Canis lupus familiaris: one gene and its partners. The protein of the gene in region 1 binds, or shares a complex with, the protein of each later gene. Links are inferred from orthologs where the notes say so. Each region holds a gene or a part of one and is shown in the gene's direction. Other genes may lie near its edges.

Region 1 (3,650 bases):
CTCTTTGCTCTAGTGTGTGGCCCACAATGCCCTGGAGTGTGCTCGAGCTATCTATGCCTACGCCCTGCAAGTGTTCCCCAGCAAGAAGAGCGTGTGGCTGCGAGCTGCGTACTTCGAGAAGAACCACGGCACCAGGTATGTGCTTGGTCCCCAGGTGCGGGCGCTCTCCACCCCCGTGTGCTCGTTGATCCTCTGACACCAGGTTGGGTAGAGCTGAATATAAACCTCATGTGCCCACAGGTGGGTGAGGGCCTGAACTGGGATCCAGTCGTCTGTGACGAGGGGCAGAGGCTTCTCCGACACTTGAGGCTGTGAGCTCTGTATGGCTCCTTCTGTGATAGGGCCAGCAGTGCTTCAGAGTTGAGACTGAGACGCAGTGTCTCTGCAGAAGTAGAAGTGCCTACAGCTGAGCTGGCGGACGCCTGGTGGCCGATGGGGTGCCTGGGGCGAAGCAGGGGCCTGCAGCCCTGTGTCTTGCCAGCGGTGGCTTTAGCAGTGTGGGCGGTGTGGCGTCTGGGCCCAGGCAGGCATGGTTTTCATTTAAGCTGTGCTGACTTTGGGTTTGGGCTAGTTTTGTGCTCTGAGGAGGTCCTTGACAGTTTTCTCTAATTGTATTCTTTAATTGAAAAAATCTTTTGGATCTGCCTTATTGGCTGTAACTGCTGATTAAATTAGGTGTTGCAATTTCTGGTGTTCAGGGGGTGTCTCTCCGGGGCAGCGTCTCTCATGTTGCTGTGCGTGCTCTCTGCCCAGGCCCTCTGCTGCTCTTCCCTGTGCTGGGTGGGGTGTGGGGGACAGGGCTTCTGCTAGGAGCACCGGGGCCCTAGTTCTTTCCTTGCCCGGCATTGTCGAATCTCAGTCTGGTCAGGGTGTCTGTCCACGTGCGTTGCTCAGAGCTCCTGTCTCATCCCCACTCCCACCATCTCATTTGGGGTTTCGGAATTAACTCATTTGGGGGTGCTTTGAGAGGACTGTGCTGGGCACCCTGTACAAGTTCACCTGTGACAGTCCGTGTCTGGAGCAGGGCCTCCCCTGCCAGGTGTGGTTTGTGGATGTGCCTCGCTGCCACTGCTGCCCTTGGTCCCTGGGCTCGGGGCAGTTCCCCTCCCTGTCTCTGGCACCCTTCCCATCCGGCTGACTCATGGAATGGAATGGTGAGAGGAGGTGGGGCACTCGGGATCTGGGGTCCTGGTTCTGGTGTTGCCTGGGAAGCAGGATGTGCTCTCTCTCGGGCTTCATACAGAGTGAGTTCTTCGTCTTGCTGCCGAGGCCCAGAGAGGTCGTTTGTGTCAGGTGGTGCCGCAGAGCGACAGTGGCCACGGGAGGCGTGGGGGCCTCACACCCAGCACCCACACTGGCGGTACTCTTGCTCCGTAGTGACCAAAGTAGCTTTTTTCCAGTAAGCCTTTTTCTTTGGATACCAAAGAATAGATTCTAGGTCGTAATCTTTATCGGCGGATCTGTGGTTACAGATGAAAAGAGCTCTCCTGTCACCCAGACCGTGAAGTTATCATTCCGCTCAGGACACAAAGCCATAAAAGGGCCCCTGAGAAGTCCCTCCATTGGGCTTAGCCACGTAACAATGCCTTGCTTTGTAGCACCCTCTTTGGTAGTTGATTTTAGAACCTTTATGAAGAGAAAAGATTTCCCCACACTCTCCCCATTGTAAAATCTGGTAAATCATTGATAGCGCCGAACTTTGGAGCAGTAACTGTCTTTTCAGCACCCACGCTGAGGCTGTGAGCACCCTGTGTGCTCCGGTGGTGACCGTAGCCCCCTCTCTTCCAGGGAGTCCCTGGAAGCGCTCCTGCAGAGGGCTGTGGCCCATTGCCCCAAAGCGGAGGTGCTGTGGCTTATGGGCGCCAAGTCCAAGTGGCTGGCAGGGGATGTGCCTGCAGCAAGGAGCATCCTGGCTCTGGCCTTCCAGGTGGGTTGAGGGGTCATCTGGGCTGCAGGGGGCGTGTGCACTGGAACCCAACCTCCGTGTCTGTTGAGGACTGAGGGCTTCAGGGTGCGTGTGCCCTCAAGCCCTCCCCCTGCTCACTGACGGGAGCCGACCCAAGGGAGGAGGTGTGTGTGGTCAGGATGCACCAAACTTAGGGTGCTCTGCAGGCAGTCGGGGTCCTGAGAGGGCCCACGGGCAGGACAGTGGCCAGGAAGTGGACCTACCCCTTGGTCGTGGCCCCTTGGTATAACAATAGCCCAGATTTTCCAGAACCCAGAGCACAGGGCCAGCAGGTGACCTTCCCCAGCTGCATGGAGCAGTTGCCAGAGACCACCGTTTCCCCACATAAGAGCACAGTGACAGCCTCTTTCCTATGAGAAAATTCAGTTGTCCAGTCCCTGCGGGGCCACCTGGAGCCACTGGGCATCTGGCTCCATTCAGATGGAGGCGTTCCATTCAGACAGCTGCGCGTAGCCAGGCTCGTTACGGCTGATGTCGTGAGCGGGGCGGTGTGGGTGCTAGGAGCTTGCAGTAGAGTCAGCGTGCGGTGCTCCATCAGTTTCAGGAAGGGTACGGCCGTAGCGATTCAACACTTCCATGTGTCATTCGGCGCTCACAGCATATGTTTTTATGAAGTGTTGAGTGCAGCGCAACTGTCAGTGTGTTGTTGCAGCCCTGACTAGCGTGACAAGGTTGGCCCTTGAGTAAAGGCTGTGAGAGGGGGTTGGCCTATACCTGGCCTTTTGCTTTCTGCTGTCTGCTGGAGGACAGCCACGTGTTGAGGACACTGCTCCCGTCTGAGTCACAGATTCTCCTGCCATCTCCCTGGACACTGCAGCTTGTCCCCAACACCACCCTTCAGGTGCCTGTCGCTCTGGGGCTGCTCATCAGGTCTGTGATGCGGCCAGGCAAGTGTGCCAGCGGGCAGCTGTGCTTTCAGGAGGCTGTGACGGTACTACCCCTGTGTCTGCTGGATTCTGGGTTGTAGGTGGCCCAGTGCTAGCCCGTGGAAGCCCTCCGCACTGTCAGCAATGCCCTGGGCATCCTTCTTTCCTACTCCCATGGACGCACTGAGATGGCCAGTTCCTTGTCAGCAGGCGTGAGAGAGGGTTGGGTGTGGCCAATCCATACAGGTAGGACGTGAGTGAGCTGTTTCAGCTTTGAGAGGCCACGAGGGCTTAAGGTGGGCCACGGAGAAGGTGGCTCTGCCACTGCCGGTGTTGTTGCCTGGGTGCCCACAAAATGAGCAGGCTTGTTTTCAGGTAGGTCAGCATTCTTGGGCTGGACCCAGCTTTGTTGTCCGTTAGCCCTGGACGTGCTTATTAGATTAGACTGTCCTGCAGTAGAGTGAGGCCCCGGCCCCACACCCAGGCTGGCTGCTTTTGATTAAGTGTAACCTAGCGCAGGCCACTGTGCTCTGATCCCACCCGGCCACGGCTGCACTCTCCCTCCAGGCCAACCCTAACAGTGAGGAGATCTGGCTGGCTGCTGTGAAGCTGGAGTCCGAGAACAACGAGTATGAGCGAGCCCGCAGGCTGCTGGCCAAGGCGCGGAGCAGTGCGCCCACTGCCCGGGTGAGCAGGCTGCCCTGGGGCCTATGGGGTCCGGGAAGCGTGAGGTGCCACTAAGGCCCCAGTACTCTAGGGCTGTTGGTTCATCCTTGGCTTTGAGATGTGTTTCTGCATTTAGACCCCCTGCTTTCTGC
Region 2 (3,650 bases), on another chromosome or scaffold:
TCATGAATAAATAAATAAAATCTTAAAAAAAAAATAGTGGAAGGAAATAATTCAAAATGCTCTGAGTGACTGAGGAAAGCTAGCCTGTCTTAACATTTACTGCAGATAAATAACTCCACACGTGAAGAGTTAAACTGACTATATATTCAGTGAATTTTGCTTCTTGTTTTTATCTTCTTAGAATGGGGTTTTCATAAAATGCCAATTTTTGTATTTTGCTACAGGTGAAAGGTGGTGATGAGGGTAGTTGCATGTAAATCAACTAAGGATAAAATAAAGTAGAATGGCTCTTCAGAGTTTTCAGAAATTATGAATTCTTTGCATTAGACATAAACAGTTCAACGAGGGTGCTTTAAAATTTGGGATTCTTTCATGTCCTTGTTTTCTGTGACTCTGGTTTATCTTCGCATCTTGGTTTATCTTGTCTTTAGGCTCAACTGGAGAAGCTGCAGGCAGAGATCTCACAGGCAGCTCGAAAAACAGGCATCCATACTTCAACTAGGCTGGCCCTCATTGCTCCTAAAAAAGAGCTAAAGGAAGGAGATATCCCTGAAATTGAGTGGTGGGACTCTTATATCATCCCCAATGGCTTTGACCTGTGAGTTTGTTAGTTAATATTTTTTAATAAGGCTAGAATTTTATTGGGAGAGATGATACTCATGCATTAAGTAAAATCTTAAAATCCTGAGGAAATAGGTAACCATACACAGGCTTATGTATTGGTGAAGAATATGTTGTATAGGTTTCTTTAGTTTTGGGGGTTAACAGAGGAAGGAATAGGCACAAATCTAAAAGGGAAAGGATGTAAATTTTGTACTTGGTTTTGTTATACATAATTATTTGTTTTCTTAATGATTTTTTTTTTTTTTTTTTTTTGCTACTTATAATAGATTTTTACATTTCTTAAAGATCTGTTCCTAGAACAAGAGGAAGGATAATTGATTCAGGAGAGAATGGTTAAGAAACATTTGGAGAGCTTTAATTATATCTGTTCTATAATTCTGATACATGGCTTTAAGAGACCGTGTCTCAGCCTTTCTCCTTTCCCTTCTTTTGTCAATCACTGTCCCAGGGAGTTCTTGTTATTTGTTAGAGAATTTTACATCCATCAGGGATGTTAGGGTAGGAAAAAGGTTGAGAATGACTAGTGTGGAGAGTATGTCCAACCTTAGTGGGACCCAGTTTTCTCATCTTAAAAATTATGTGTAATATAATTACATGTTGTAGATATGCAAACACTAAAAACTACTAGAATGCATTGTGAAGAGTGCATTTTTTCATTGTGTTTCTGAGACTCCCTCTCTTGGAATTGTCTCTACCCACATATCTTGTTTTCCCTTTTTCCTCCAATTTTAGTACAGAGGAAAATCCCAAGAGAGAAGATTATTTTGGAATCACAAATCTTGTTGAACATCCAGCCCAACTCAACCCTCCAGGTAATGTGTAGATTACTCAACTAAGGTTCTAGTTAAATAGAACTTCATGTGATAATGGACATGTTCTCTACCTGTGCTGTCCATATAGTAGCCACTATCTACTAGTGACTTGAGCTCTTGAAAATTGGGTTGCGCTAATAAAACTGAAAGACTGAATTTTAAATTGTATTCAATTTTAATTAATTTCAATTTAAATAGTGTATGTATCATGATCTTAGGGTTGTGGGATTGAGCTCTGCTAGGTATGGAGCCTGCTTAAGATTCTTCTCTCTCCCTCTGTCTGATGTGTTTTCTCTCTCTCTCTCCTGTCTCTAAAGTAAAGAAATCTTTAAAAATAGATAGAATATGTGGCTATTGACTACAATATTGGACAGTGTAGCTCTAGAGCACTGAGGCTTAATCTAAAGATAGTTTCACTGATATATATTACAAGTTAGGTTTTAAAAAACATTCTTGGGGTGGCTGAGTGGCTCAGTCAGTTAACCATCTGACTCTTGATCTCATTTCAGGTCTTCATCTCAGGGTTATGGGTTTATTTATTTATTTTTTATGTTTTATTTTTTTTTAAGATTTAATTTATTTATTCATAGACAGAGAGAGGCAGAAACACAGGCAGAGGGAGAAGCAGGTCCCATGCAGGGAGCCCGATGTGGGACTCGATCCCGGGTCTCCAGGATCACACCCCAGGCCGCAGGTGGCGCCAAACCGCTGTGCCACCAGGGCTGCCCTTATTTTTTATTTTTAAAGATTTGTTTATTTGTTTATTTATAAGAGACACAGAGAGAGAGAGAGAGAGAGAGAGAGGCAGAGACACTGGCAGAGGGAGAAGCAGGTTCCATGCAGGGAGCCCGATGTGGGACTCGATCCCAGGTCTCCAGGATCACACCCTGGGCTGAAGGTGGCGCTAAACCGCTGAGCCACCCCGGGCTGCCCAGGGTCATGGGTTTAAGCACCACATTGGGATCCACACTGGGCATGGAACCTATTTTAAGAAAAATAAAAAACATTCTTATCTCTGACTCCCAACTCCAGTCTTGTATACTTTTACTAAATACCTGCTCTTTTTCAGTCATCTTTGTCTTTAGCCTTTCTCTCTATCATTTTTTTTAGCAAAAACCTATTGGCTCACTCAAAAGAGAAAGGTTTTAGTTGTGGCTGTGTTTTTAACTAGCTGAATCCCTTGGGTAAATCACTTAGCACACAGAACTTTCTCATAAGTAGAGATAATATTAACTGTTATACCTTCTTCAAGAGTTATGTAGGTCATAAAAGATTTTTACACTTTGATCAGATTTGGGATGAATAGAAGAGATAATATTTCAATTAGTAAATTTGGAAAAATAGATTAAGACCTTGAGGTGTGGGATCCCTGGGTGGCGCAGCGGTTTAACGCCTGCCTTTGGCCCAGGGCGCGATCCTGGAGACCCGGGATCGAATCCCATGTCGGGCTCCCGGTGCATGGAGCCTGCTGCTCCCTCTGCCTGTGTCTCTGCCTCTCTCTCTCTGTGACTATCAGAAATAAATAAAAATTTAAAAAAATACTAAAAAAAAAAAAAAGACCTTGAGGTGTTACAATGTATGATAATCATTCAATATTAGTTAATCAGAGTATACTTAGTTGTCATCATTGTGAATTATTAGAAGAACATGGGGGATTTTGTTTGTTTTAAAAAGTGAGTGGTGCCTGGGCAACTCAGTTGAGTGTCTAATTCTTGATTTCACCTCAGGTCATGATCTCAGAATCATGAGATTGAGGGGAGCCCTACAGGCTCAATGGGGAGTCTGCTTGAGATTCTCTCCCTCTACCCCTCCCCCTACTAGCATGTGTGCAGGATCTTTCTCTATAAAATAAATTAACAATTTTTTTTAAGATTTTATTTATTTATTCATGTGAGACACAGAAAGAGGCAGAGACACAGGCAGAGAGAGAAGCAGGCTCCACACGGGGAGCCCGATGTGGGACTCGATCCCAGGACTCGAGGATCACGCTCTGAGCTGAAGGCAGAAGCTTAACCACTGAGCCACTGAGCCACATCCCTAAATAAACAAATCTTTAAAAAATATTACTAAAAGATTGAGAACACACCTGGCTGCCTCAAATCAAAAGAGCATGAGACTCTTGATCTCAGGGTTGCGAGTTCAAGCCCCATTTTGAGTGTAGAGATTACTTAAATAAACTTTTAAAAAATAATAATAACAAATAAAATTTAAGAA
Region 3 (3,650 bases), on another chromosome or scaffold:
TTATCCCTTTTAAAGCTTTCTGCCCAGAAAATTGTGCCTCCTGCCATGTTTATTAATCGTTACCTTTTATTTATTTATTTAAAAAGATTTTATTTATTTATTCATGAGAGACACACAGAGAGAGGCAGAGACATAGAGAAGCAGGCCCCCTGTGGGCGACCCGATGTGGGACTCCATCCCAGGACCTTGGGATCACGCCCTGAGCCGAAGGCAGATGCTCAACTACGGAGCCACCCAGGTGTCCCCAATCCTTACCTTTTAATATAAAGTGTCAGAGGGCATTTTCTTTTTTTAGGAGGTGCATGTACATAAAAAGCTTTTAGTTTATTTTGAATCTGTTTGATGGAATATATATGGTGTCCTTAAAATGACAGTGGCAAATTTAAGTATTTTTTTGAGTACTTACTACATGCTAAGTACTACTTTAGATGGCTGGAATTTAGTAGAGAAAACAGATAAAAATATGTCCTAAAGCAGAAGTAGTTACTTTATCCTTGTTTCATTTCTCTGATCCCAGATGGCATCTTAAGATGTTTTTAAATTCATGCCTTAAGATAGTACTGTTTAATATATAGATTAGATAAGAACTTCTCTCCGTAGTGAAATGACTATAAGGGCTATTTATTGTGGCAGGTGCAAGCCATTTATGGCTAGAGAGGACTTGAAACATGACTTGAGGAACCGAGTTTCAAATTCTAATTATTTTAAATTTATTTATTTATTTAAAAAATATTTATTTATTTATTTATGATAGACAGAGGCAGAAACACAGGCAGAGGGAGAAGCAGGCTCTATGCCGGGAGCCCGACGCGGGACTTGATCCTGGGACTCCAGGATTGCGCCCTGGGCCAAAGGCAGGCACCAAACCGCTGAGCCACCCAGGGGTCCCCTATTTATTTTTTTAAAGATTTTAAATTTATTTTTTCGTGAGAGAGACACAGAGAGAAGGGCAGAGACATAGGCAGAGGGAGAAGCAGGCTTCCTGCAAGGAGCCCAATATAGGACTCAATTCCGTATCGGGGATCACGCCCTAAGCCAAAGGCAGATGCTCAACCGCTAAGCCACCCAGGTGTCCCTAATTATTTTAAATTTAAATGTAAATATTAACTTGTGGCTATTGCCTCCTTTAATGGACAGTGCCGCTTTACTGGGACCATTACCAATTAATTAGAGTTAATGTTTGAGGAGAAATTTCTTTGTCACCTGTGGATTTAATGGAAGTAAAAGTTTTCTGTCCCCCCCCCCCCCCCAAAAAAATGTTTTTTGTCCCTTAACCTGCCCTGTACTCATATAACATTACTTTGCAGTTAAATAAGTACATCTATTTGTAGGTATTCTAATATTCAGGCTTCCCATTTATTTTTATGGACAAAAATCGATTTTTCTTTTATAAAAGGATTTGTTCACTCTTGATGTCTTTTCACTGCCTCTCTCTCTTTTTTTTTTCCCTAGAGAAGGGGGTGGGCAGAGGAAGAGGGAGAGAATCTTGAACAGGTTCCACACCCAGCACAGAGCCTATGTGGGGTTAGATCTCACAACCCTGAATTATGACCTGAGTGAAATCAAGAGTTGGGACATTTAACTGACAGAGCCAACCAGGTGCCCCCCATCCCTAGTCTTTTATTTATGTATGTATGTATGTATGTATTTAGTATTTATTTACTTTTTAAAAAGATTTTATTTATTCATGAGAGAGACAGAAAGAGAGGCAGAGACACAGGCAGAGGGAGAAGCAGGCTCCATGCAGGGAGCTCAACATGGGACTCCATCCCGGGTCTCCAGGATCACACCTCAGGCTGCAGGCGGTGCTAAGCCACTGCGCAAGTGGGACTGCCCCATCCCTAGTCTTTTAATTTGGAATGTTGTTGGGGCCCTGTTGCTTTAGTCCTACTTTTTAGCTTTTCCTCCAGAGAAAGTAACTGCAATAGAAGGTTTTCTACTGGTTGTAAATTTGAAAAAGAAAGAGGGTCATTGGCATTGTATGTCTGGTAGAGATACCTTGACATTGCTTTGGGAATTGGTGTGTAGGGGTGCTATATTAAATGTCTAGGGGAGGAATAATGTTCCTCACAGTTTACATATGGTCGTTGAACTATCTCTGAAGGATGCTATGTGATGTTGTGGAATGTGGAGCCAATGCTGCTTCACTTGGGGGCTTTCCTAGACATCTCTCCCTATTAATTGTTTTTTTTTTTTTCTTTTTTTCTTCTTTTGTTTGGCTCTTTTAGGAGTGTGCTGGACTTTGACTTTGAGAAACTATGTTCCATCTCCCTCTCACATATCAATGCATATGCCTGTCTGGTGTGTGGCAAGTACTTTCAGGGTAAGTAAATGTTGTATATTATAAACTTTCTAAGTTTTCAGTGCTAGCTACAGGTCTGCTCCAGAGAGGTTTTTTACTTTCTTTTAAAGAAGGTAAGCTGCTACCAGGAGTCACATCTGAGAATATCTATCTTTATTCCCAGGCAATTGGGATAATCCTAGGAAATCAATAGGAGGTTCTTCGGTCAGAACCTGTGTATGTATGAAAGGGAAGAAAAACTAGTTGAGGCTTTGTAGGAGGTCTTAAAGGCTGTGGGTTTTTGAATCTCTCATGTTTTCTGTACTCATGTCTTATTTTTTATTTTTTATTATTTTTTTTAAATCCTTTTGCTCTGAGGGCTTTTTCATCCTATTCTTTTCTGGAACTAGTCAATTCATTCAGACCAAGCACATGCTATGTACAGTATGCTGGAGGATTCAAAAGAAACATAAACTACATTCCTTGCTCTTATAAAGAGCTCATAGTCAAGGTTAACACATAAAACAATAAGCAAACTATAAGATCATAAGGATTACTGCTGGACTGTGTGGCAGTGAGTATGGATAAGGACTCTGGGAGTTAAAATATGTAGAGATCAATATTAGCTGGAGCATTTGTGTTTAATTCATGGAGGAGGTCAATGTGGGACTTGAACTGGTAGGACATAGAAGATTGAATGGGTTAAGGTAGAGAGACTCTAGAAAAGAGTGGCATTCTGAACAAAGTTACATAGGTACAGGATTGTCCTGAATGTGGGTGTTTGGAAATGCAGGACTGAATGATGATGGATATTTGTAGTTGTACATGTATATATGCATATCTATGTATGTCTGTGCATGTATTATATATAATCTATGCGTAGGTAGTCTTACTTTTAGATAAAGTGGAACTAGCTCATACACAACTGCATGCACACACACATTTCACATTTATGTGTATGAAATTAGTTTCCCTAACCAATGGTTTATGCCATCCAGGGAATAAAGTACTAATGTGCTATTCTTTTTTCCTCTTTTTTGTGATGGGACAAGTTCATGTAAGAGATTCACTGACCAATTGGTATAGTACTTAGTTTTTGCTGGTATTAGTGTGTTCCAGTACAAAGTTATGAAAGGAAAATCAAATCTGATTTGTGTCTCTCTGGCATCTGTCCTACTCTTACAGCCTTTCATCCTTCCTTACAGGCCGAGGTTTGAAGTCTCATGCCTATATTCACAGTGTCCAGTTTAGCCATCATGTCTTCCTCAACCTCCACACTCTCAAGTTTTACTGCCTTCCAGACAACTATGAGATCATCGATTCTTCCCTGGAGGATATCACAGTATGTGTCCATGAGGGTTGATTTGGA

The links.
Region 2: PRPF6 (region 1) and PRPF3 share a complex: the UniProt entries of both Homo sapiens proteins name them as parts of the U4/U6-U5 tri-snRNP complex. The link is inferred for Canis lupus familiaris from reciprocal best matches to the Homo sapiens genes PRPF6 and PRPF3.
Region 3: PRPF6 (region 1) and USP39 share a complex: the UniProt entries of both Homo sapiens proteins name them as parts of the U4/U6-U5 tri-snRNP complex. The link is inferred for Canis lupus familiaris from reciprocal best matches to the Homo sapiens genes PRPF6 and USP39.

The regions. Positions count from the first base shown.
Region 1 is NC_049245.1:48,320,368-48,324,017, forward strand, and holds part of PRPF6 (pre-mRNA-processing factor 6), read left to right. Parts: intron 1-13; coding exon 14-135; intron 136-1,788; coding exon 1,789-1,927; intron 1,928-3,399; coding exon 3,400-3,519; intron 3,520-3,650. UniProt on the Homo sapiens protein: Involved in pre-mRNA splicing as component of the U4/U6-U5 tri-snRNP complex, one of the building blocks of the spliceosome.
Region 2 is NC_049238.1:60,223,046-60,226,695, forward strand, and holds part of PRPF3 (U4/U6 small nuclear ribonucleoprotein Prp3), read left to right. Parts: intron 1-431; coding exon 432-598; intron 599-1,356; coding exon 1,357-1,436; intron 1,437-3,650. UniProt on the Homo sapiens protein: Plays a role in pre-mRNA splicing as component of the U4/U6-U5 tri-snRNP complex that is involved in spliceosome assembly, and as component of the precatalytic spliceosome (spliceosome B complex).
Region 3 is NC_049238.1:39,811,811-39,815,460, reverse strand, and holds part of USP39 (U4/U6.U5 tri-snRNP-associated protein 2), read left to right. Parts: intron 1-2,228; coding exon 2,229-2,323; intron 2,324-3,486; coding exon 3,487-3,623; intron 3,624-3,650.